Linked DNA regions of Caenorhabditis elegans. The protein of the gene in region 3 binds, or shares a complex with, the protein of the main gene of each other region. Each region holds a gene or a part of one and is shown on either strand. Other genes may lie near its edges. The genes, in order: mdt-21, cic-1, mdt-18 and cdk-8.

Region 1 (4,942 bases), on a different chromosome or scaffold from region 3:
CCTAGGCCACGGCCACCGTACCGACGATCACGTGCTCCGAAGACGGTTGAAATGCTTTAATTGTGGCGGTGACCGTAGTTCGTTCGCACATTTCGATGGTGGCTGGCTTGTCGGCGGATTTCTGGAATTTTTCGAGAATTTTCGGGGAAAAATGGCACAAAAATTGGGATTTTTGGAAAATTTTCAGTTTTTAGACTTGAAAAATGAGAAAATCGGTGGCTTTTTTCAAAATTTTCGCTGAATTTTTCAGATTTTCACCAAAAATATCGATTTTTTGAGAGGTTTTGTAGATGAAATGTCCAATTTTCACCTGCAAAAAGCTCAAATATCGCTCCCGGAGCACAGCTTGTCGCCTCTGTTGCTCTCCTTCTGCTTCTTGTGTGCTCTGGGCCATCTGGAAGTGGTTTTGCTAGGGTTTTAGGCTAGATTTAAGAGAATTTCAGATAAAAAACCATGGTTTTTGCCAATAGAATAGGAAAATGAGGAGTATTAAATTTAAAAAAAAAATCAAATTTTAAATTTAAAAATACCCAAATTCTGGGGGAAAAGTGTAAAAAATGGGCAAAAATACAGAAAACAGTTAAAAATTAAATAAAAAGAAAAAGAGATCACAGTTTTTCGAAATTTAAGAAATTTTGGAATTTTCAAGGGAAAAATTTGAAAAAAAATCGATTTTCTCTGGGAATTTCTAATTATTTAAAGTGGTGGAAATCGATTTTCAATGGGGAAAAATTGGCAACTTTCTAGAAAAATGGGGGAAAATTGAATTAAAAATGATTATTTTTGAGGAAAAAAATTTAAAAAAAAAAAGATAAATTACCCACAATTTTTCAAATTTAGCAAATTTTCAGTAGAAAAAAGGGTAGAAAATCAATTTTGAATGGGAAAAAATGAATGAAAATAAATTAAAATTGACATATTTTAAAGGGTTGAAAAATCGATTTTAAATGGGAAAAATCCCAATTTTAATAGAAAGTCATGAAAGTTTATATGAAATTGAAATTTTCACGGAAAATTAGGCAAAATTTTTTCTGGATTTTAAGGAATTTTCAAGAGGAAATGGACTAGAAAATTGATTTAGAATTCTCAATTTTCCGGGAAAATCGGCCCAAAATAATTTTTTGCTATGAAAATCAATTTTCTCTGGGAATTTCTAATTATTTAAAGTGGTGGAAATCGATTTTAAATGAGAAAAATCGAAAATTTCAAGAAAAATAGGGGAAAATTAATTAGAATTTAACTATTTTCAGGGGCAAAAAGGGATGAAAAATCGATTTTAAATGGAAAAAAAGTTGATTTAAAATCGAAAAATTAAGGAAAAATCACAAAAAAAAATGGAAATCGGCTGAAAACATGGAAAAAAAACATGAAAATCGATATGAAATTGAAATTTTCACAGCAAATTAGGCAATTTTTTCTGGATTTTAAAGAATTGTCAAGAGGAAATGGACTAGAAAATTGATTTTTTTTTCTCAATTTACCAGAAAATCGGCCCAAAATAATGGAAAAATGATGAAAATTACAATAAAAAATCGGCAAAAATCGGCAAAATATAATAATTATTCACTGGGTCTCGAGCTCATTTGTGTCTTTGAAATCTCGGCAAGCTTCTTCTGAACAACTCCGACGAGCCGATTGCTGTCGCCGACGAGTCCGACGAGCTCATTCACTTTTTCTCGCTGCTTTTCGTCGTTTTTTATCATTTTCTCCTCGACTTCCGCTTCCTGGTTGCCCGCTTCGATTGGGAATGAGTCGATGAGGATCTGAAAATTATTTAATTGGTTTTTTCCCGAAATTTTAAGCTGGAAATTGAATTTTTTCGATTTTTAGCCATTTTTCACCCAGAAAATCGAATTTTCAAAAGAATTTCGACCTAAAATTCGATTTTTTTGAGATTTTTTTCAAGAAAATTATTAATTTTGTTCTATTTTTCACCCGGAAAATCGAATTTTCACAATTTTTTTCAAATTTTAACCCGAAAATTGAATTTTTCGACAGAAAATTGGATTTTTTTTGCTGTTTTTTGGGTAGAAATCACGATTTTTTCGGCAAAAATGAGAATTTGCTTAAAATTTTCAATAAAAATTGGATTTTTCTGTACTTTTTTGGCTGAAAATTAATTTTACTGAAACTTTTGTGGAAAGTGGATTTTTTTTAATTTTGAGTTTTTTTAAATTTTAAATTAATTTTTTTTTTCGGCTAAAAATGTGGATTTTTGAATTTTTTTAAAGAAAAATTTCGATTTTTCTTCATTTTTCACCCGGAAAATCGAATTTTCACAATTTTTTTCAAATTTTCACCCGAAAATTGAATTTTTCTGAAATTTTTTGGCTGAATATTGTAAAATTAATTTTTTCAGCCAAATTTTCAGAAAATCCTAAGCAAAAAGCTTCAGAAAAGCAGTTTTTCTCGTTTTTCAAACTATTTTATATTCCAGGAAACAATAATTTTCAAAAATTACAAAAATCCTCATTTTCAGCCGAAAAAAATTTAATTTAAAACTAAAAAAAACTCAAAATTAAAAAAAAATCCACTTTTCACAAAAATTTCAAAAAAAAATCTAATTTTCAGTTAAAAAAAATAGAAAAATACAAATTTTAAATTTTTGTCGGGTAAAAATGAGGATTTTTTTGTAATTTTTTGAATAAAAATTAGGGTTTCCTGGAATTTTCTGGAATTTTTTGAGTTAAAACAGGCTAAAAATAGTTTGAAAAACGAGAAAAACAGCTTTTCTGAAGCTTTTTGCTTAGGATTTTCTGAAAATTTGGCCGAAAAATGCTCAATTCTATAGAAAACCTCAATATTTTTAGCGGCTTTTGCAATTCCAGCGGCAAAAATCGCGCAATTTGGCTCATCCTCAAGCTCCTGTGAAATTGCTCCAAATTCACATGGCGGAGCAGTCGCCTGGAGCACTCCAATCGCATTTGTCATTAATCCGGCCATTTCGTTAATCATATCCTGTAGTTGGGTCATTCGATCAGCCATTTTCAAGAGTTTTTGGGCTGAAAATGAGCTTGAAATGTAGTTTTTAATAAAAAATTGGAATTTTCGTATAAAAATTGGTCGAAATCCTCTGAAAATTCGAGAAAATCAGATAAAAATGCATTAAAATGGAGTGAAAATTCATTTTTTTTTTCAAATTTTTTCCATTAAAAATTGATTTTTTTGAGTTGAAAACCTAAAAATCCTTATTTTCTGCGATTTTTAAGGTATTTTTCTGATAAAAAACCGGATTTTATGCGTTTTTTGGAACTTTTTAGGAATTTACTAGTAGAAATTTGAATTTTTTGAAGATAATTGGCTAAAAAACTTTGAATATTTGAGAAAATCGGATAAAAATTATTTTTTTTCTTCAAATTTTTACCAAGAAAAATTGATTTTTTTGAGTTGAAAAACTAAAAAAAATCCTTATTTTCTGCGATTTTTAAGGTATTTTTCTAATAAAAAACCGGATTTTGTGCGTTTTTTGGTACTTTTTAGGAGGTTTTCTAGTAGACGTTTGAATTGTTTAGACGAAACTTGGCTAAAACTCTGAAAATTCGAGAAAATCGGATAAAAATGAATTAAAATGGAGTGAAAATCGATTTTTTTTTTCAACTTTTTACCATGGAAATCTAAATTTTTTGCGTTGAAAATCCATACTTTCTGATACTTTTTTGGTAGTTTTCTGATGAAAAGTTGGTCGAAAGGCTCTGAAAATCGGATAAAAATGAATAAAAAATGAGTAAAATTAATTTTTTTTTTAATTTTCAATTAAAAATTGAATTTTTTTTGCGCTGAAAACCAAAAATTCTAGTTTTCTAGCGACTTTTTAGAGAGTTTTCTGATGAAAAATTGGATTTTTGGCTTCAAATTGATAGTTTTCATGGAATTTTTGCTGTAAAAGTGTTTTTTTCAGGTAAAAATAGGGTTAAAACCCATTAAAAAAATAGAAAATGGAAGTAGAAAAACATGGAAAAATAGTATTTTATGGCAAAAAAAAAAGTGAGACAAAAACCAGGAAAAAAGGGTGGAAAAGCACATAATTACACTGAAAAAGAAGCCTATTTCTCTGCATTTCTATCACTTTTATCCCAAAACCAATGATCAGAAATCCATCCGGCTCTCTCTGGAGGCCATATTCTCAGGCTGAGCCTTATCTGAACAAGGGCTTCAGGTACCGGGCCGAAATGTCTGGAATCTGTTGAAACTGGGCCGTTGTCACCGCGAAGGAATACGTGACCAATTGGAACTCTGCCAGATGGAAGCAAATGGGAGGTTACTGGATCGCCTTCCTGAAAAAATTGAAAATTTTATGGGTTTTTTTTAATGAAAAATAGCATTTAAATTGGCTAAAAACATCTGAAAATTTGAAAAAATCGGAAAAAATTGAATTTTTCAAGGAAAAATTATTTTTTTTTCGACTTTTTTTGGTGGTTTTGGATGAAAAATCGGATTTTTAAACGAAAATTGGCTAAAAACATGACACTGGGTCGCCTTCCTGCAAAAATTGAAATTTTAGGGTTTTTTTCTCGGGAAAATCGGAGCAAATTGGATTTTTTGCGTTAAAAACCTGAAAATCCTCGTTTTTTGCGACTTTTTAGGTGGTTTTCTAGGAAAAATCGAATTTTTGAAATGAAAATTGGCTGGAAACAACTGAAAGTGCAAGAAACATCTGAAAATTCGAGAAAATCGAAAAAAAAAAGATTTTTTTGCGTTAAAAACCATAAAATCTTCGTTTTTTGCGACTTTTTAGGTGTTTTTTTTAAATAAAAAAATCTGGGGTTTTTTGAACGAAAATTGACTTTTTTTTGCGTTTTCTGGCTTTTTACAGATTTTTTCCATAAAAATCCTCGTTTTTTGCGACTTTTTAGGTAGTTTTTTGATGAAAAATCGGGTATTTTAAAGAGATTTTCGGCTAAAAATGCATTTTTTGCAGATATTTCTATGCTTTTTTTTCAGG
Region 2 (7,772 bases), on a different chromosome or scaffold from region 3:
AAAACACAAAAAAAAACGTTAAAGTTCAAAAAATGACCTTATTCCCAATCGGTGGCCTAGAAATTACAAAAGTTCGGCCATCAGCCAAAAAACTCGGCCACATGGGTAAAAAGGTCCGAAAAATTCGATTTTTCAGTTTTTTTTCACTGAAAATCACAGAAGCATCGATTTTCGGGGATTTTCCAGCTCAAATTGCACAAAAATTCAGGTTTTTGCAATTTTTGAGTTCAATTTTCAAGAAAATGCCAAAAATGTCAAAGTTTCCGTTCTTGACTTTCTAAAATCACAAAAATTCCCTTAATTCCGATTGGTGGCCTAGAAATTGCAAAAAGTTAGGCCACCATCATTTTTCGGCTGAAAATTGGCAAAATGGGTTAAAAAACTCGGGGTTTTCCACATTTAAAGAAAAATGTTCGAAAATTCCTATTGGTGGCCTAGAAAGTAAAAAAGTTAGGCCACCAACTTTTTTTCGGCTAAAAATGCTTAAAAAATTGTCTATTTTCGCGGAATTTGCTGGATTTTCTTGCAAATTCTCTAAAAATTGGCAAATTTCTCGAGTATTGGGTAGAATTTCACGGGAAATCTCAATTTTCCGGTAGAAATCCGAGACCTTTTCAAAATCAGTGTCAACTTCGACAAGCCAAGCTTCCAATTCTTCTCCACGGCCCATTAATTCCATTGCAACCATAATACTTGATAATCCAATGACATGTGGTGGAAAAATCAATGAAACATCACATCTTAGCGAATCATTTGCCACTTTTTGACATTGAGCTTCAATTGCTTCCAGATCTGCAAAAAAATGGAGGTTTTTTGGTGAAAAATTGGATTTTTTAGTGAAAAATTGAAAAAATTAGAAATTTTGAATTTTTTAATGAAAAAATGGAAAATTTTGGATTATTTAGTGAAAAATTGGAAAAATCGAATTTTTTTGAATTTTTTGGTGAAAAATTGGATTTTTTAGTGAAAAATTGGAAAAATCGAATTTTTTTTGAATTTTTTGGTGAAAAATTGGATTTTTTAGTGAAAAATTGAAAAAATTAGAAATTTTGAATTTTTTAATGAAAAAATGGAAAATTTTGGAATTTTTAGTGAAAAATTGGAAAAATCGAATTTTTTAGTGAAAGATTGGAAAATTTTGGATTATTTAGTGAAAAATTGGAAAAATCGAATTTTTTTGAATTTTTTGGTGAAAAATTGGATTTTTTAGTGAAAAATTGAAAAAATTAGAAATTTTGAATTTTTTAATGAAAAAATGGAAAATTTTGGATTTTTTAGTGAAAAATTGGAAAAATCGAATTTTTTTTGAATTTTTTGGTGAAAAATTGGATTTTTTAGTGAAAAATTGAAAAAATTAGAAATTTTGAATTTTTTAATGAAAAAATGGAAAATTTTGGAATTTTTAGTGAAAAATTGGAAAAATCGAATTTTTTAGTGAAAGATTGGAAAATTTTGAATTTTTAGTGAAAAATTGGAAAAATCGAATTTTTTTTGAATTTTTTAGTGAAAAATTGGATTTTTTAAGTGAAAAATCTAATTTTTAAGTTAAAAATTGGAAAATTTTGAATGATTTTGGGAAAAATTGAAAAAATTGGAAAAATTTGAATTTTTTGAGAAAAAAAAAAGGAAATTTCTGAAATTTTTTAGGGAACAGTGGAATTTTTTTGATTTTTTTTTTTTGAATTTTTTGGTGAAAAATTGAAAAAAATTGGAAATTTTTGAATTTTTCAGTAAAAAAGTGGAAAATTTGGAAAAATTTAAATATTTAGTGAAAAATTGGAAAAATTCGATTTTTTAGTGAAAAATTGGAATTTTTTTTTGAAAATTTGAATTTTTTAGTGAAAAATTGAAAAAATTAGAAATTTTGAATTTTTTTAATGAAAAAATGGAAAATTTTGGAATTTTTAGTGAAAAATTGGACAAATGGATTTTTTTTTGAATTTCTTAGTGAAAAATTGGATTTTTTAAGTGAAAAATCTAATTTTTTAGTTAAAAATTGGAAAATTTTGAATTTTTAGAGAAAAAAAAGGAAATATCTGAAATTTTTTAGGGAACAGTGGAATTTTTTTGATTTTTTTTTTGAATTTTTTGGTGAAAAATTGAAAAAAAAATTGGAATTTTTTCGTGAAAAATTAGGATTTTTTTTGTGAAAATTCAGTTTTGTTTTAAAAACATTTTAAATTTTTAAGAAAAAAATTCCGAAAAATTCTTCGAAAAAATTGAGGTTTCCTAATTTTTGGCATATTTTTTGTAGGGGAAAATCAAATTTTCTTCAAAAATTGAATTGCAAATTTTCCACTTTTTTACTGAAAAATTCAAAATTTTCCAATTTTTCACGAAAAAATCCCAATTTTTTTCAATTTTTCATCAAAAAATTCAAAAAAAAAATCAAAAAAATTCCACTGTTCCCTAAAAAATTTCAGATATTTCCTTTTTTTTCTCAAAAAATTCAAAAATTTCCAATTTTTAACTAAAAAATTAGATTTTTCACTTAAAAAATCCAATTTTTCACTAAGAAATTCAAAAAAAATTCGATGTTTCCAATTTTTCACTAAAAATTCCAAAATTTTCCATTTTTTCATTAAAAAAATTCAAAATTTCTAATTTTTTCAATTTTTCACTAAAAAATTCCAATTTTTTCCAATTTTCCCCTAATTATTCAAATTTTTCCAAATTTTTCACCCAAAAATTCCAATTTTTTTTCAATTTTTCACCAAAAAATTCAAAAAAAAAATCAAAAAAATTCCACTGTTCCCTAAAAAATTTCAGATATTTCCTTTTTTTTTCTCTAAAAATTCAAAATTTTCCAATTTTTAACTAAAAAAATTAGATTTTTCACTTAAAAATCGAATTTTTCGCTAAAAAATTTAATTTTTCCAATTTTTCACTAAAAATTCCAAAATTTTCCATTTTTTCATTAAAAATTCAAAATTTTCCAAATTTTCCACTTTTTTACTGAAAAATTCAAAATTTTCCAATTTTTCACTAAAAATTCCACAATTTTCCATTTTTTTCACCAAAAAATTCAAAAAAAAAATCAAAAAAATTCCACTGTTCCCTAAAAAATTTCAGATATTTCCTTTTTTTTTCTCAAAAAATTCAAATTTTTCCAATTTTTATCGATTTTTTTCCCAATTTTTCCTGGAAAAATCGCAATTTCTCCAATTTTTCACAGTTTTTATCAAAAATTTCCCGGGGGGGGGGGGGGGGGCACCTTTAATAGGTTGATTAGCAATAGTTGATTGTTGAGTAAATTGTTTCAAATCTTCTAATAATTCAAACATTGGACGTGATGCATGATGTACAACAAGGCAACAATCAAGAATTTCAACGAGAATAAACTCGGAATCGTAGACAACTCCATTTTTTGTCGATGTCGTCTCAAATGTCACTCCCCATCGTTTTGGCACTGAAAAATGAAGGGATTTAGGGGCGCGAAATTTGAATTTTTGAGGGGAAAATTTGATTTTTAGGCGATTTTTTGGACTAAAACGGGTTTTTTATCGAATTTTTGACGTTTTTAGTAGAAAAATTGAATTTTTGAGTGGGAGATTTGATTTTTTGGCGATTTTTTGAAGTAAAACGCGTTTTTTCGGACAATTTATGGGTTTTTTAGTAGAAAAATTGAATTTTTTAGCGGAAAATTGGTTTTCAGGCGGATTTTTTGGAGTACAACGGGGTTTTTTCCCGAATTTTTTGAAATTTTTTGCATTTTTAGTAGAAAAATTGAATTTTTTAGCGGAAAATTGGTTTTCAGGCGGATTTTTTGGAGTACAACGGGGTTTTTTCCCGAATTTTTTGAAATTTTTTGCATTTTTAGTAGAAAAAATTGAATTTTTGAGAGAAAAATTGATTTTTAGACGAATTTTTGGACTACAACGGGTTTTTTATCGAATTTTTGACGTTTTTAGTAGAAAAATTAATTTTTTAGTGGGAAATTTGATTTTTTGGCGATTTTTTGAAGTAAAACGCGTTTTTAATAGAATTTTTCGAAATTTTTAGAATTTCTAGCAGAAAAATCGAATTTTTGAGGGGAAAATTGGTTTTCAGGCGGGTTTTTTTCGAATTTTTTGAAATTTTTTGCATTTTTAGTAGAAAAAATTGAGTTTTAGACGAATTTTTGGACTAAAACGGGTTTTTTATCGAATTTTTGACGTTTTTAGTAGAAAAATTGAATTTTTGAGTGGGAGATTTGATTTTTTGGCGATTTTTTGAAGTAAAACGCGTTTTTAATAGAATTTTTCGAAATTTTGGGTATTTTTTAGCATAAACATTGAATTTTTGAGTGGAAAATTGACAAAATTCTGTTGTTTCTGCTGAAAAACTGGTTTTTTAAAAGAAAAATTGAATTTTTGATTAGAAAATTTGATTTTTAGGCCATTTTTTGGCCTAAGAAGAGGTTTTTATTCTAATTTTCTGTGATTTTTAGCGTTTTTAGCAGAAAAATTACATTTTAGACGGATTTTAGGACTAAAAAGGGGTATTTTATGAATATTTTCTGAACATTTCGGCGTTTTCCGCAGAAAAATTGAATTTTTTAGTGGAAAATTTGATTTTCAGGTGGATTTTTGGACTAAAACGCATTTTTGGTCGAATTTTTTACAATTTCTGGCGTTTTTAACAGAAAAATTGAATTTTTGAGGGTAAAATTGATTTAAGGCGATTTTTTGAAGTAAACCGGGTTTTTAATTAAATTTTCTTAAGTTTTTGGTTTTTTTAGCAAAAAAAAGATGAATTTTTGAGTGGAAAATTGATAAATTTTGGTTTTTTCTGTCGAAAATAGATTTTCAGGCAATTTTTTTGAAGTGAAAACGAGTTTTTTATCGAATTTTTGAAATTTTCGGCGTTTTTAGCGAAAAATCGAATTTTTCAGGTTAAAAATTGACAAAATCCGATTTTTCCACACAAAAAACGATTTTTAGACGAATATTAGGACTAAAACGGGTCTTTATGGGTATTTCCTGAACTTTTAACCGTTTTTAACAGAAAAATCGAATTTTTAAGTGGAAAATTTGATTTTTAGGCGATTTTTTGGACTAAAACGGGTTTTTTTCTGGTAAGTTGGGCGTTTTTAGTTTTTTTAATTAAATTTTTCTGAAAATTGGCCGTAATTTTTTTATTTTTGGCGTTTTTAGGAAAGCATCGAATTTTTGAGTGAAAAAGAGGCAAATTTTTCGAGTTTTTCGAGTTTTTCAGCTTAAAAATCGATTTTCAGGCGATTTTTTGGATTAATAAGCGGAAAATGAGCTGCAAGAGTGGAATTTCAAATTTTTTTGAGACAAAACTTGACTCAAAAACTGTTTTTTTTTTTTGGTTATTGAGGTGATTTTTAGAGTTTCTAGCTGAAAAATTTGGATTTCAGCGGTTTTTAAGTGAAAAATTGATGTTTTTTCCGGGTGTTTTTTCGGTTCAAAAGCCTATTTTTCACTAAATTTTCCAATTTTCAGCCGGATTTCCGCGTTTTTCTGCCAATTTTTTGCAATTTTTCCGTCGTAAAAACGCACAAACGATAGCTGTATTTTTCAGAAAGCTTGAGACGCTCAACGTAGTGTGTTCTTCAACTTTACACGCTAAAAATAATGCTGTAGAGGCTACGAGGAATGGGCACATGTCACGGAACGATTGCCTGAAAAATTCGACGTTTTTCCAGGTTTTTTATCATTTTTTTCCGAATAAACCTTAGATAAAATCGCTTAAAATAGATAATCGCAGTTGCAATAACCTGTTGACGGAGTTTACATCCAACATTTGCCTGTGAGTGGGCTCCTTCTGTGGCGACGGCGGTTATAACTGAAAAAAAACCAAAAATTATCGATTTTTTCGAGGAAAAAGTAAGGAAAAATTACAATTCGCCCAGAAAATATTCAATCGATTGTACTCTTCCTCGTTATAAATCTTCATATCCTCGGCGCGTTGCTTCCAAATCTCGGTTTTATCGAAAATCCATTGTTGGCTGGAAAAAATGGGATTTTTTTGGGTTTTTCAATGGGATTTACTTACCAATGACTGCTTTTCCAGAAATTTAAAGCCATTTTTCAACTAAAATCATTAAAAAAATGAAAAAATCGAGAAAAACAGTGGAAATTGAGTGAAATCGATGAAAATTCGAATAAATAAGAATAAATTCGGAGTGTGGATTTACGGTAAAGAACACGCGCCTGCGGGATTCCGGAGTGTCGTTGTATGTCTTTACGCGGTAGTTTAAATCGATTTTTTAAAGCTGGTGGATTATGGCTAGTTTAGAGGGGGTTTTGAAGTTTTTTTTTGTGAAAAATTCAACAAAACGTAGTCAAAATCCTTCTTCTGTGTTAAAATTCAAAAAATTCCATTAAAACCGAGACAAATCGAAATTTTTCTGCAAAGCCACAATAATTAATAATAATTTGGCTCATTTTTCAGAGTTTCTCATGAGTTTATGATTTTTGTGTCAAAATGCTTCCAATTTGCTTTAGGTTTATGTCAACTACATTTCACCCGTCTCCAATCCCTCTGACCACTTGAACTTTCACTTTTTCCCGAAACTAGGCGGAGTCTGGCGGGGGTGCTAGTGAAAACTATCCAATATGACACAGTCACCCATTTCTTGGATGAAAATCCGGCAATTTTGTTTGCAAAACTGAGCAGAAATCATCATTTGATAAGAAATTCGCACCTTTTTGACCTTTTTGACGCTGTAGTCACTGAGCAAATAGAAAAGTGGTACAAATTGGCTGGAAAAAGTCGTATAAAGGAGCTTTTTGGGGAGTTTTAAAGTGTGAAATTGGCTTTGTTAGGTGCTAATTAGTATATTGGAGATTTTAGGAAAAATTTAAAATTTTCGAAAAAAATTTTTTTTTTCGAAATTTTTTTTTCAGAAAATTTTTGTTCGAAATGTTTTTTTTTCAAATTTTCAGATTTCCAGCCAATTTCTTCGTCTATAAACATGTCCATCAATATGAATGCCAACTTTTTGAAGCTTCTCACCCATTTTCGGCGTCACGATTTGGTAAGTTGAATTTTTTCCCAAAAATTTGAAATTCCGACCTATTTTTGTTTAAGTCTTAATTAATGCAATAAAAATGCGAAGATTTTTCTTTGTTTTGTTTAAAAAAACATTTTTATAGCTTAAAAATGAGCAAAGTTATAGGATTTTTTCTAAAAATTTTTTATTCCAAAAAAAATTTTATTTTTTGAAATTTTCAACATTTTTTTAGTACGATTGTAACTTTTTATTTGAATAAAATATTTATCTACAATCTGCTTTAAAAATTATAAAAAAAATCTTAAAAATGAGAAAAGTTATGGTACTTTAAAAAAAAAAAAACTCAAAAAAATTTTTTCAAAAAAAAAATTTTTTTTTTTCAATTTTTTTTTAAAATTCCCCCCCAAAAGTACATTTATTTCTTATTAATGTTATTATGTACTATCACATCTTATCAGTACGAAACCCTTCGTGTTCTTCTGTTTTATTGAAACCAACGGAATATAAGGTGACGAAATGAATTTGACCTACTTTTTTCTGTTATTTGCGCCGCCGCCGAAAATTGGTGAAGAACAAATAATTATTGTGACCTTGTTAATGACAATGTCAATAATAGTTTTATAATAAGAAAGGTATTTACTTTTCCGGAAAAAAAAAATTGAAAAAAAAATTTTTTTGAAAATTTTTTTTTTTGGAAAAACATCAATTTTTTTTAAATTTTTTAACTTAAAATTAGTATCAAAATCAGATTCGTCGTCAAGTTCTACCCCTGAAACACTTTTTTCCGACTTTCCTACGCTAAATTCAACTT
Region 3 (3,482 bases):
TTTCTCCTGGAAATGTCATTGTGCTCATCGCAGCAAGTTCCTTTTGCTCGGGTTCGAGAGCTGAACGATCAACGGGTGTTGGTTCAGTGCTCCGGAGAATTGATTTGGTTTCAATAACTGAATCTTCTTCCTTGATTTCGACAGTGTCTGTTTGATGGAATGTTTTCACATTTTCAAGCTGTTGCGCAAATCGAACTCCCGATTTTTTCCGTTTGACGGTGGTTTTTGTTACGGTTTCCTAAAAATTGTGTGTTAAAATAATAGTGAATTGTTTCTATTTAGTATTTGAAATTACCTCAACAATTTCTTCGACCTTAATCACTTGGGTCTCTATCTTTTTGGATTTCAGTTGTTGGTCAGAATTATTGCTTTTCTCGATATTATCATCAGATGCATAATCATCAGAGTCGAGTTCTTCTACACTATTGTTAAGATTCTCTTCATCATCGTCTCCTTCCTCTTCATCTTCATCATACTCCTCATCGGAACTCTCTTCATCACAAGTGTCTAAGAAATCTAACAGCCGTTCCATTTCCTTCTGTGTTACTCCAGGTTGTGCCAGCAAACGTTCATTCATTCCAAATCTTAGTTTTTTATCAGTTGGATCTTGTTCAACTTCCTCAACTTCCTCTAATTTACCCAAATCCTGTAAATCTTCGTTTGAAACTTCAAAAGGTTTCGGAATTGGAGCTTCTTCCATCTCATCATTGTCTTGTTCCAGTTTCTCTAGTTCTTCCAAACGGTTCATCACATCGTTGTGATCTTGGTCACCATTCAATTTGTTCTTTTCTATTATCTTCTCGTTCTGTTCATCATTTTGAGACATCTTTTTGTTTTTGCGATTTTGATAAAACAGTTTTTCCATCTCTTCATCGTATTTCTCGACAATTTCGATAGGTCCTCCATCAATCGAAACAGATGAGAAATTATCTTGAGCAAACTTTATTTTGTCATCCAACATTCGAATTGAATCGAGACCTTCCTCACGCTGCCTTCTCATTTCAGAAACTCTCCGATCCAAGATCTTTTCAGCTGTATGAATGCTGCATTCTCCGTAATAGTTTGCACCCATTTCCATCGTAACTTGATTCGTGCGAACTACATGGGCACCGCAGAAATAACCGACTTCGCAAATTTTCGCCTAAAAATTAGAATAAGATTATATGAGAGAGAATGTAATTTACCAAAATAGGAGCTTCCAACTTTTTCGAATATTCCTTTGCTCGTTCCAGAACTTTTTCATAGTTATCAGCAATGATTCTTCGACATTCGGTCTCAACTTCGAGCCGAGCTTTAGCCTGAAAAATTAAATTCATACAGACTTAATTATTTTTATACTATTTTAGGGAAACAAACTCGGAATTTAAAAACGAATTATTTTTGTCTTGTCGTTCATAATCATGTAAAAGGATTTTTAATTTACCGCATTGCATTCTGCAACGTAGAGTTCGCTCATTTTTTCAGATAGGTCTTCTTCACTCGTCACAGTCATTTTCTGCAAATCTTAGAGAGGTAATTCGGAGCGGAAAATGGGAAAAAATGTTAAAAAGTAACAATTTCCGAAAGCGCAATTTAAAAAAGTACAAAAAAGTACAAACTTTTATGGAGACACTACTGATTTCTGGAATCTGTTAAATCTTAGAAATGAACTCTTTCAGAATTTCAAACTTCTTTTTTTATATGCGTAAAACTTATCGCATATATTTTATGCAATATTGAAAGTAAGTAGAGTTTTAACCATTAAAGTAACTGAAACCAGAGTTTTATCGTAAAAATGGTAAAATATTCGGGAGTGTTGGTTTCCCTGGAAATGAGTCACGTAGAGTGTGAGTCCGCAAACACCAGCTGTGAATTGCGTAGAATACATTTAATATCACGCTCAAATAGTTTTGAATTAATTTAATTTTTTAAAAACATTTTTTATTCTGTTTATTTAGTTGATTCATTCAAAATATGGACAATTTAGTGGATATTGATGAAGATGGAACACAAGAAAAGGTATTTCGATTGTTAAAATCCATCTAAAACATTTTAATTCAGCTTTCTGTGAATTCAACTCCCTATCAAACACAAGAATGCGTTCTTTATGGATCTATTTTCGCAAAAAATGTCCCAGTTAGTTTTTAAAGTAATTGGACTAAATTCTAATACAAAAGTTTCAACTTTAGGACTTGGAACGACGTTTAGCCGGCCTTTGTGATCCGGGATGTGAGGAATTCTTCGAGCATGAGATGTCATTCAGCCTACGATCTTCGGGTATAATGGATATCAAAACCGATATTAAGTAAGCTTTTTTGTTTATCTATTTAAATATTTGCATGTATTTGATTTTTGAAGATTGCGAAGAAGATTCCGAACAGAACATCGAATTCAAAATTATTGGCAATTAAAGTACATTGGAGGTCGGTTTTAACCTTATAATTCGTATTTTATAATTTTTTGTTTTATTTCAGTTCCGGAACCAGATCAAAAATGCCCAACTATTGTTCGAAAAGAAATCAGTTCACTTGTCCATTCTCAGGATATGATGACGTATGCGAAATCCTTGGGTCTCCGCATGGACTATGAATATATGACACAAGGAAAATTGTGGACAAAAGGAAATATAAAGATTCTGCACTCAATATTGACTAGTACTTCTCGCGCAGGAACATATGATTCAAATTCAATCAAATCTGTTTCTGATTCTGCGTTAGTGGAAATCAGTATCTCATTGCCCGAGTCTGCAGAATACATGCCGGTAGGTTTTTTAGTAATAATTTCGAATTTATTTTTTCAACTCATTTTAGGCTGCCAAGTCTCTTCGTGATTTTGCCGATCAGCTGATGCCACTTGTTAATATGGAAAAAGTCGATTACTGGAAGAAAATGTTCCCAGCTCAAGCAGCTCCTCGTCGTTAATCTTCATTAATTGATTGATCTCACTTTGATACGTTATTTAATTTATAAAATTCACGAAGTATTCAATAATGTTAATATCCCACAAAGCTTCAATGGTTTATACCTTTTATTTTCTGATATCAACATTAAACATTTTTTTACTCCAATGAAAATTTAGAATGTCATCGAAAAATCCAGTAGATGAGCAACCTTGCTGTGGCTCCCATGAAGGTTCGCATCAAGATCCTGCTCCGGAGACGTTAGTAGTTGAAAAAGAAGTTAACAATGGGGAAAAGAAAATACGAATTGCTGTTGTCGGATGCTCTCACGGAGAAATGGATGCTATTTATGAGGTAAAATTTAAAAAAAAATCATATTTTTCGAACAAAATTAATGGCATATTTCAGATCTATTTTCTCTATTAGATTGTTTTAATTGCTATTTAAAATTACAACTATTTAAAAAAAATATTTCAGACAATGACACTAATCGAACAGAAAAATGGCTACAAATTCGATTTGCTGATCTGTTGTGGCGATTATCAAGCTGTCCGAAACTACGGCGACCTTCCACATATGAGTATTCCACCAAAGTACAGAAGTC
Region 4 (5,685 bases), 2.2 Mb from region 3:
TGATGGATGGAGAAGAGCCGATTGTAATTTTTGAGAAATTGAAGACAATTTTTAGAATATAATTTATTGCAGCATCTCTGACTTCTTTGGCAGGTCACATCTCATCGAATACAAGCATTTTCCAATCAAGTGGATCCGAAAAATGTGAAAATAAATTAGTGGTATTGTGTGTTGAGGTTCGTTTTTTATTTAAATTGAAGTGTTCAAACGATCGTTGTGAGACCATCAGAGAAAAAGAAATATTATTTCCAAACAGCTTTAAAATCTTAAAATTAAAATGTTTGCAGAACATGTCCAAGTATCACGGTGACCGAATTCTCCGCTTGCATCGAATCACATCCGACTTCAAAAAATGAACGACTTCCAATATAGAATTTCAATTTTAAAATTGTTTTAAATGATTATACCCCAACCTTACGATGAAAAAATCTCGAACCCCCCCTGAAAAACGGCTTCATTCACTCATTTTGCTTTGTTTTCTATTTTGAATTAAACCAAAAAAATCTTTCCGAATTTGATTTTGATAACTGCCACGTATTTTCTCAATTTTATTGTGAACGTATTTCAAAAAAATACAATTTACAAAGCCTTCAAATTACACATGACGAGCAATATTAGTTTGATGTGAGTACTATAGATACATACATGTTACAAATGAAATGTTTATCGATGATATTGTTGTTGCCATTGCTGTTGTTGCTGTTGATTTGGACCGGGTTGCTGTTGTCCCATTTGAGGGGGAGCCATTCCACGACCAGGCATATATCCTTGTGGTGGAACTCCTGGAGCACGCATGCCCATTTGCATTCCCATTTGTGGATTCATATATCCTTGAGGTCCTGGTCCAGGAACTGCTCCTGTTGGTTGTCCTGGTCGTTGTGGATAGTAGCCGGATGGTCCCGGTTGTTGCATCATTTGCACCATTGGTGGACCTTGTTGCGGGTGATAGTCTTGTGGAGCACCGTATGGAGGAGGCATCGGTGCATACTGCAATTGTAGAATTGAACATAAGAATTTGAAAAGTGGAGTATTGCCATAGGGAAAAATGATGAAAATCACTCCTATGATCTTAAAATGACCCAATATCCTAGTAACGCTTTTCAACAATTTTTCAAAATAGTTTTACCTACAGTAAAAAGTGAAAATTACTTCATCTACCATGATTTGGAAATAAACCAAAAATTATCAAAATTAGTTTCTATCTACTATTTTGCAACGATTAACGAATATTTCAAGAAATTTCAATTTTTGAAAGTTTGGCAATTTACCAACAAAAAAATTATAAATCATTTTACAAAAATTTGCAAATTCAACAATCAATCTATCAAAATTTGCGAAATTTGGAAATTTACAAAAACTTTGAAAATTTGAAATCCTTAATTATGATATTCAGCCATGTTATGTTTTTTATTATTATTTTCTAATTAAAAAGCTTACTCTTCCAACAGGAACATTTCCCATTCTCATCATTTTTGCTTGTGGTCCTTCATCCATTCCACCTTGCATTGGATCATGCATTCCTTGATATTGCATCTGAACAGAAAAAGTTAACTTTTCATTCTGAATATTTAGAAAACTGACATGATGCTGTTGTGGATGCTGTTGTTGCTGCATCATTTGATGTGGATGTCCATCTGGAGCAACAACTCCGGGATGTGCTCCACCCATTGGTGGTTGTCCCATCTGAGGTTGTACCATTTGAGGTTGTCCCATCATTTGTTGCTGTCCCATTTGTGGTTGTTGTTGCATTTGAACTTGTTGTTGTTGATGCTGTTGTTGTGCTTGATCTGGTGCAACCTGTAAAAGAATCTTGGGAACATTTGCAGTGTATTCAACAATTGATGCCCTTACCGTCATCTGCTGTTCCTTCTTCGCGTATGGAATTGGATATTTATTGAACACGTCGTCAGTCTCCCTTGGTGGTCTTTCCATTTTCTGCAAATGGTTTTTTCAAATATTATTCAAATTAAATTTCAAACGAACTCTAAAATAAATATCATTCATCGCTTCTTCACAACTGACACGTTTTGTAGGGTCAACTGTGAGCAATTTGACAAGTAATCTATATGGAGAGCTTTGTGAATTGATTTTCCATTTATCAAAGTATCGATGCAAGCTGTTTGGAAATGTTTGAATTGGTGTTCTGAAAATTGTTTATTTATAATTATGTAAAACTTTTTTAAAGCCGTTATATATTGCAATACAAATTCACACATCCGAAATTCTCTCAAATTCGGAAATGCCACAAAAAATGGAAAAAATCGCAAGAATGAAAAACCAACTTTTGAAATCGCGATTTTCAATTGTTTGAATTGCCACCTAAATGAGAACTGCGACCAATCAGCGACTCGTTTTTTAATCTTGGATTTTTAATTCTTTCGCGATTTTTTTTTCCTTTTTTTGTGGTATTTCCTAATTTGAGACTAATTCGGTTTCATTGAAGCCATTCACGCTACTGAAAAAAATAATGTGCCTTTAAGTAATCTATCAAAATAAATTTGAAAACTTTTATATTATAATTTACCCTTCATTTCTAGCATCGCTTAGAAGTCTTTGATGATCCGGCATTTTCTTCATATCAGGCCAATCAGCATCTGATGGGTATCCGAGTAGATGGAATATTCTTTAAAAATTTCGAATAGTTAATGATTTTAATTTCCAAAAAATCTGTACCTTTTCACTTGATCATAGTGATATGGATTTTGTGCCTTGATGTCTTCCTCTTTACAGAAAAATAATGGTTCAGCGGTAAGAAGTTCGGCAAAAATGCATCCGATAGCCCATACGTCAATAGCCTGAGATTATGCATTTTTTCCTTATTAAATAGATTTTTCAACGTACCTTTGTATAATGCTTTGCTCCGAGAAGCAATTCAGGTGCTCTGTACCAGAATGTGACAACTACTGGATCTAATTCAGCCATCGGTTTCAGAGGATTTGCATAGATTCTTGAAAATCCCAAATCAGCAATTTTTACCCTAGAATTATTATTTCATATTATCGCATAAATTTCAAATTCAGTCAAACCTTCCTCTCATGTCAGGTGGTCCATCACCCATTAATAGAATATTTGCTGGTTTGAGATCTCGATGTAGTACCCAGTTTGAATGTAAATAATGCATTCCTGAATATTTTAAAATACAGTTGAGTGAAATTGGATTTTAGAATTTCAAACCTGATAAAATTTGAAACAATATATTTTTGACCATATTCCGTGGCACCATAATTGGGACTTTCTTGCTTTTAGCTGTTCGATGATGTTTGATAACGTGCCAGAGATCGTGTTCAGCATAATCCAATAAAAGCCAGACTTTTTTTTCGTTGGTAAGAAATACACGTTGAAGACAGATTAAATTCGGATGCCTGAAACATTTTTTTTTTTTGAATATCTACTTCAGTTTTTTTTTCGAATTTTAGATTATAAAAAGGGGAAAATCTCGAATTCAATCTTCATTTTAAATTAATATTATTTAATCGGTGAAATTACCTTAATTCTCTGAATAGAGCAATTTCTCTGCATGCAGACATTGAAAATCCTTGTCCCTCAATCATTTTTAATGCGTATTCTTTGTTAGGAAATTGTCCATTTTGCTTTTTCGGAACTGCTTTATAAACTAATCCATATGTTCCTCTGCCGATTTCTTTTGAATTTTCAAAGTAGAAAAGGTCTTCTACTCTCTCTCGACGCTGTGCCAATTGTTTTTTGAAGTTTTCATCAATCATTAATCTGCAATAGGGATTTTCTGATTTATTTATAGTGCAAATTTCCAACTTACGTCATTTTTCAGTTACTACAGCGAATACTACTCAGTCTTTATGCCAGGAAAATCGATGTCCAGAAAAACGAAAATTAAAATTGAAGTGTACGGTAAGGAAGTCCGCAAACACTGCACCCACGTACTAAACACCAAATATCACGACATCTTCGTCGGTCTTCGTTTTCTAGCACTTTTTCTTGTGGCAAATTCTCGCCGAACGTCACTTCTTCTTCCCAAAGAACACAGCGTTAAGACTGAAAAATCAATAAATTAACTAATCAATAAATGCCACATGTCTAACAGACAAATAACTAGGAGGAATGCACATTCAGAGAGGATACTCTGGTTTGGCAGCGAATAACGCTTTCAATCGATCCTGTAACCGCGTTTGCCTCAAATCAGTTTAGAATGAACAAACCGAATATTGTATTTTGGATATTATTTTGTCTGAATTTAAAATAAACTGGTCGTCGGAAATAAATATTTCTTAACTTTTCCAGAATTTTCTAACATAAATCAAAAAATTCTTATGTTCTCACGAAGTCTCGCTCTCTCGTTGTTGCAGATTTTAGCATTTGTCGAGTTTTCAAAAGATAACAACTCAAATTTACAGGCCGATCAGTTCAAATGCAAATGGGTGATCATCAAATGATGGGAAACCAGAGGTATGAGTTGAATTAAAAAATAGCTTGTTCAGTTTTAGTTATTTGGATCAAGAAATCCAATAACAACACTCGAAAGATATTACAGAACTTACGTTCAAAAAGTGATGCCTGCACAAGCTGGTGGTGCAGTATCACAAAATGCCACGTATGTGCAAACGGCAGGAATTCGAACGGTTCATCACGACGGAAACGGACAGCAGAGGGTGAGATTTTGAAGAATATAATCAAATTTTGTTCGAGACAAGACATATGCTTGAATTTATGAATTAAAGTTTATTTCAGATAGTTCAACTACCCCCGGGAGTACGTCAGATTCAGCAAAATGGTGTCGGTCCTGCCTATGTTCGCCAAGTTCCTGGTGGTCAACCAATGCAAGTAAACTTTGGACATCCAGTAAGTCTTTATTATCAGTTTCTCAATCAACATAACAAATTCTAAGAATTGAAACAAAATTTCAAATTCACGAAACTATTTTAATTTTTCAAAAGAAATTGCAGGGAACGATAGCGGGTCGAAATGTTGCAGTTGGTGTTCAAATGCGACCTGTGCAAGGACATAACGTTCAACAAGGTTATCAGAGTAAGTTTTTAATTTTATTTAGAAAATTGATAGTCAATATTTAATTGATGTTATTCAAAACAAAATATTTTTTTTTTTAAATCGGTTTTATTTCAATTTATTTACGGTCTCCGGATGCCGTGTGTTTTATCAATAGAATACAAGTACTACGTATATCTAGAATCGCGTATATGTTTCTGCAATAATTAATTGTTTTATTGGAATAATATTCTAGACACAAATTAACTCTACATTTACATTTCGAATAACTCGATTTCTGATTTTTGAACGATTGAAGTTTCACATATTTTCCAAAAGGAAAAATTAAATATTGATTAAATTTTCACTGTTTTTGCAAACAAAAAAAAATCGAAAACAATCAAAATAATTCTGGAAAATTTCAAACTCGTGTGTTGGGTCTCACATTACGTGTTGTATAAGACATTCTTGTTTGAAAAACTGAAAAGAGTTTTAAATTTAATTCCAGGACAGCAAGTAGCAAATCAAATTCAACAACAAAATCGAGCTGTATTTATGGCACAAAATCAGCAAGGACAACAACAGATAAGCTATGCGCAAGCACAACATCGACAACAACAACAGGTATGTTTCATGATTATCATTTACTATCATTTACTATATATAAAGCGCGTGTCCTTCTGTCCCTATGTAGTTTGATCTCTGATCAGAGCAACGAAATTTTGG

What was found.
Region 1: mdt-18 (region 3) and mdt-21 share a complex: the UniProt entries of both Caenorhabditis elegans proteins name them as parts of the mediator complex.
Region 2: mdt-18 (region 3) and cic-1 share a complex: the UniProt entries of both Caenorhabditis elegans proteins name them as parts of the mediator complex.
Region 4: mdt-18 (region 3) and cdk-8 share a complex: the UniProt entries of both Caenorhabditis elegans proteins name them as parts of the mediator complex.

What each region holds. Positions count from the first base shown.
Region 1 is NC_003281.10:11,775,687-11,780,628, reverse strand, and holds mdt-21 (Mediator of RNA polymerase II transcription subunit 21), read right to left. Parts: upstream 3,009-4,942; 5' UTR 2,986-3,008; coding exon 2,797-2,985; intron 1,764-2,796; coding exon 1,560-1,763; 3' UTR 501-1,559; downstream 1-500. Other genes in the region: C24H11.5 (Gem-associated protein 7), read right to left, coding at 22-121, 311-394; immp-1 (Peptidase S26 domain-containing protein), read right to left, coding at 4,044-4,274. UniProt on the Caenorhabditis elegans protein: Component of the Mediator complex, a coactivator involved in the regulated transcription of nearly all RNA polymerase II-dependent genes.
Region 2 is NC_003281.10:2,395,177-2,402,948, forward strand, and holds the start of cic-1 (Cyclin-C), read right to left. Parts: upstream 6,046-7,772; 5' UTR 6,033-6,045; coding exon 6,001-6,032; intron 5,954-6,000; coding exon 5,847-5,953; intron 5,791-5,846; coding exon 5,679-5,790; intron 5,627-5,678; coding exon 5,505-5,626; intron 3,410-5,504; coding exon 3,215-3,409; intron 793-3,214; coding exon 611-792; intron 481-610; exon of another isoform or gene 431-480; intron 1-430. Other genes in the region: Sterol 4-C-methyltransferase strm-1, read left to right, coding at 6,923-6,985. UniProt on the Caenorhabditis elegans protein: Component of the Mediator complex, a coactivator involved in regulated gene transcription of nearly all RNA polymerase II-dependent genes.
Region 3 is NC_003279.8:6,492,303-6,495,784, reverse strand, and holds mdt-18 (Mediator of RNA polymerase II transcription subunit 18), read left to right. Parts: upstream 1-1,937; 5' UTR 1,938-1,953; coding exon 1,954-1,998; exon of another isoform or gene 1,999-2,040; coding exon 2,041-2,115; intron 2,116-2,168; coding exon 2,169-2,284; intron 2,285-2,337; coding exon 2,338-2,402; intron 2,403-2,453; coding exon 2,454-2,740; intron 2,741-2,789; coding exon 2,790-2,900; 3' UTR 2,901-2,963; downstream 2,964-3,482. Other genes in the region: uri-1 (Unconventional prefoldin RPB5 interactor), read right to left, coding at 1-238, 296-1,141, 1,185-1,298, 1,424-1,456; dbr-1 (Lariat debranching enzyme), read left to right, coding at 3,059-3,232, 3,356-3,482. UniProt on the Caenorhabditis elegans protein: Component of the Mediator complex, a coactivator involved in the regulated transcription of nearly all RNA polymerase II-dependent genes.
Region 4 is NC_003279.8:8,700,657-8,706,341, reverse strand, and holds cdk-8 (Cyclin-dependent kinase 8), read right to left. Parts: upstream 3,877-5,685; 5' UTR 3,781-3,876; coding exon 3,776-3,780; intron 3,727-3,775; coding exon 3,487-3,726; intron 3,363-3,486; coding exon 3,175-3,362; intron 3,124-3,174; coding exon 3,027-3,123; intron 2,978-3,026; coding exon 2,842-2,977; intron 2,796-2,841; coding exon 2,674-2,795; intron 2,624-2,673; coding exon 2,525-2,623; intron 2,144-2,524; coding exon 1,984-2,143; intron 1,936-1,983; coding exon 1,852-1,935; intron 1,798-1,851; coding exon 1,582-1,797; intron 1,534-1,581; coding exon 1,438-1,533; intron 988-1,437; coding exon 664-987; 3' UTR 517-663; downstream 1-516. Other genes in the region: cle-1 (Fibronectin type-III domain-containing protein), read left to right, coding at 1-23, 73-176, 288-356; tlf-1 (TATA box-binding protein-like 1), read left to right, coding at 4,385-4,422, 4,499-4,625, 4,705-4,815, 4,920-5,001, 5,468-5,583. UniProt on the Caenorhabditis elegans protein: Component of the Mediator complex, a coactivator involved in regulated gene transcription of nearly all RNA polymerase II-dependent genes.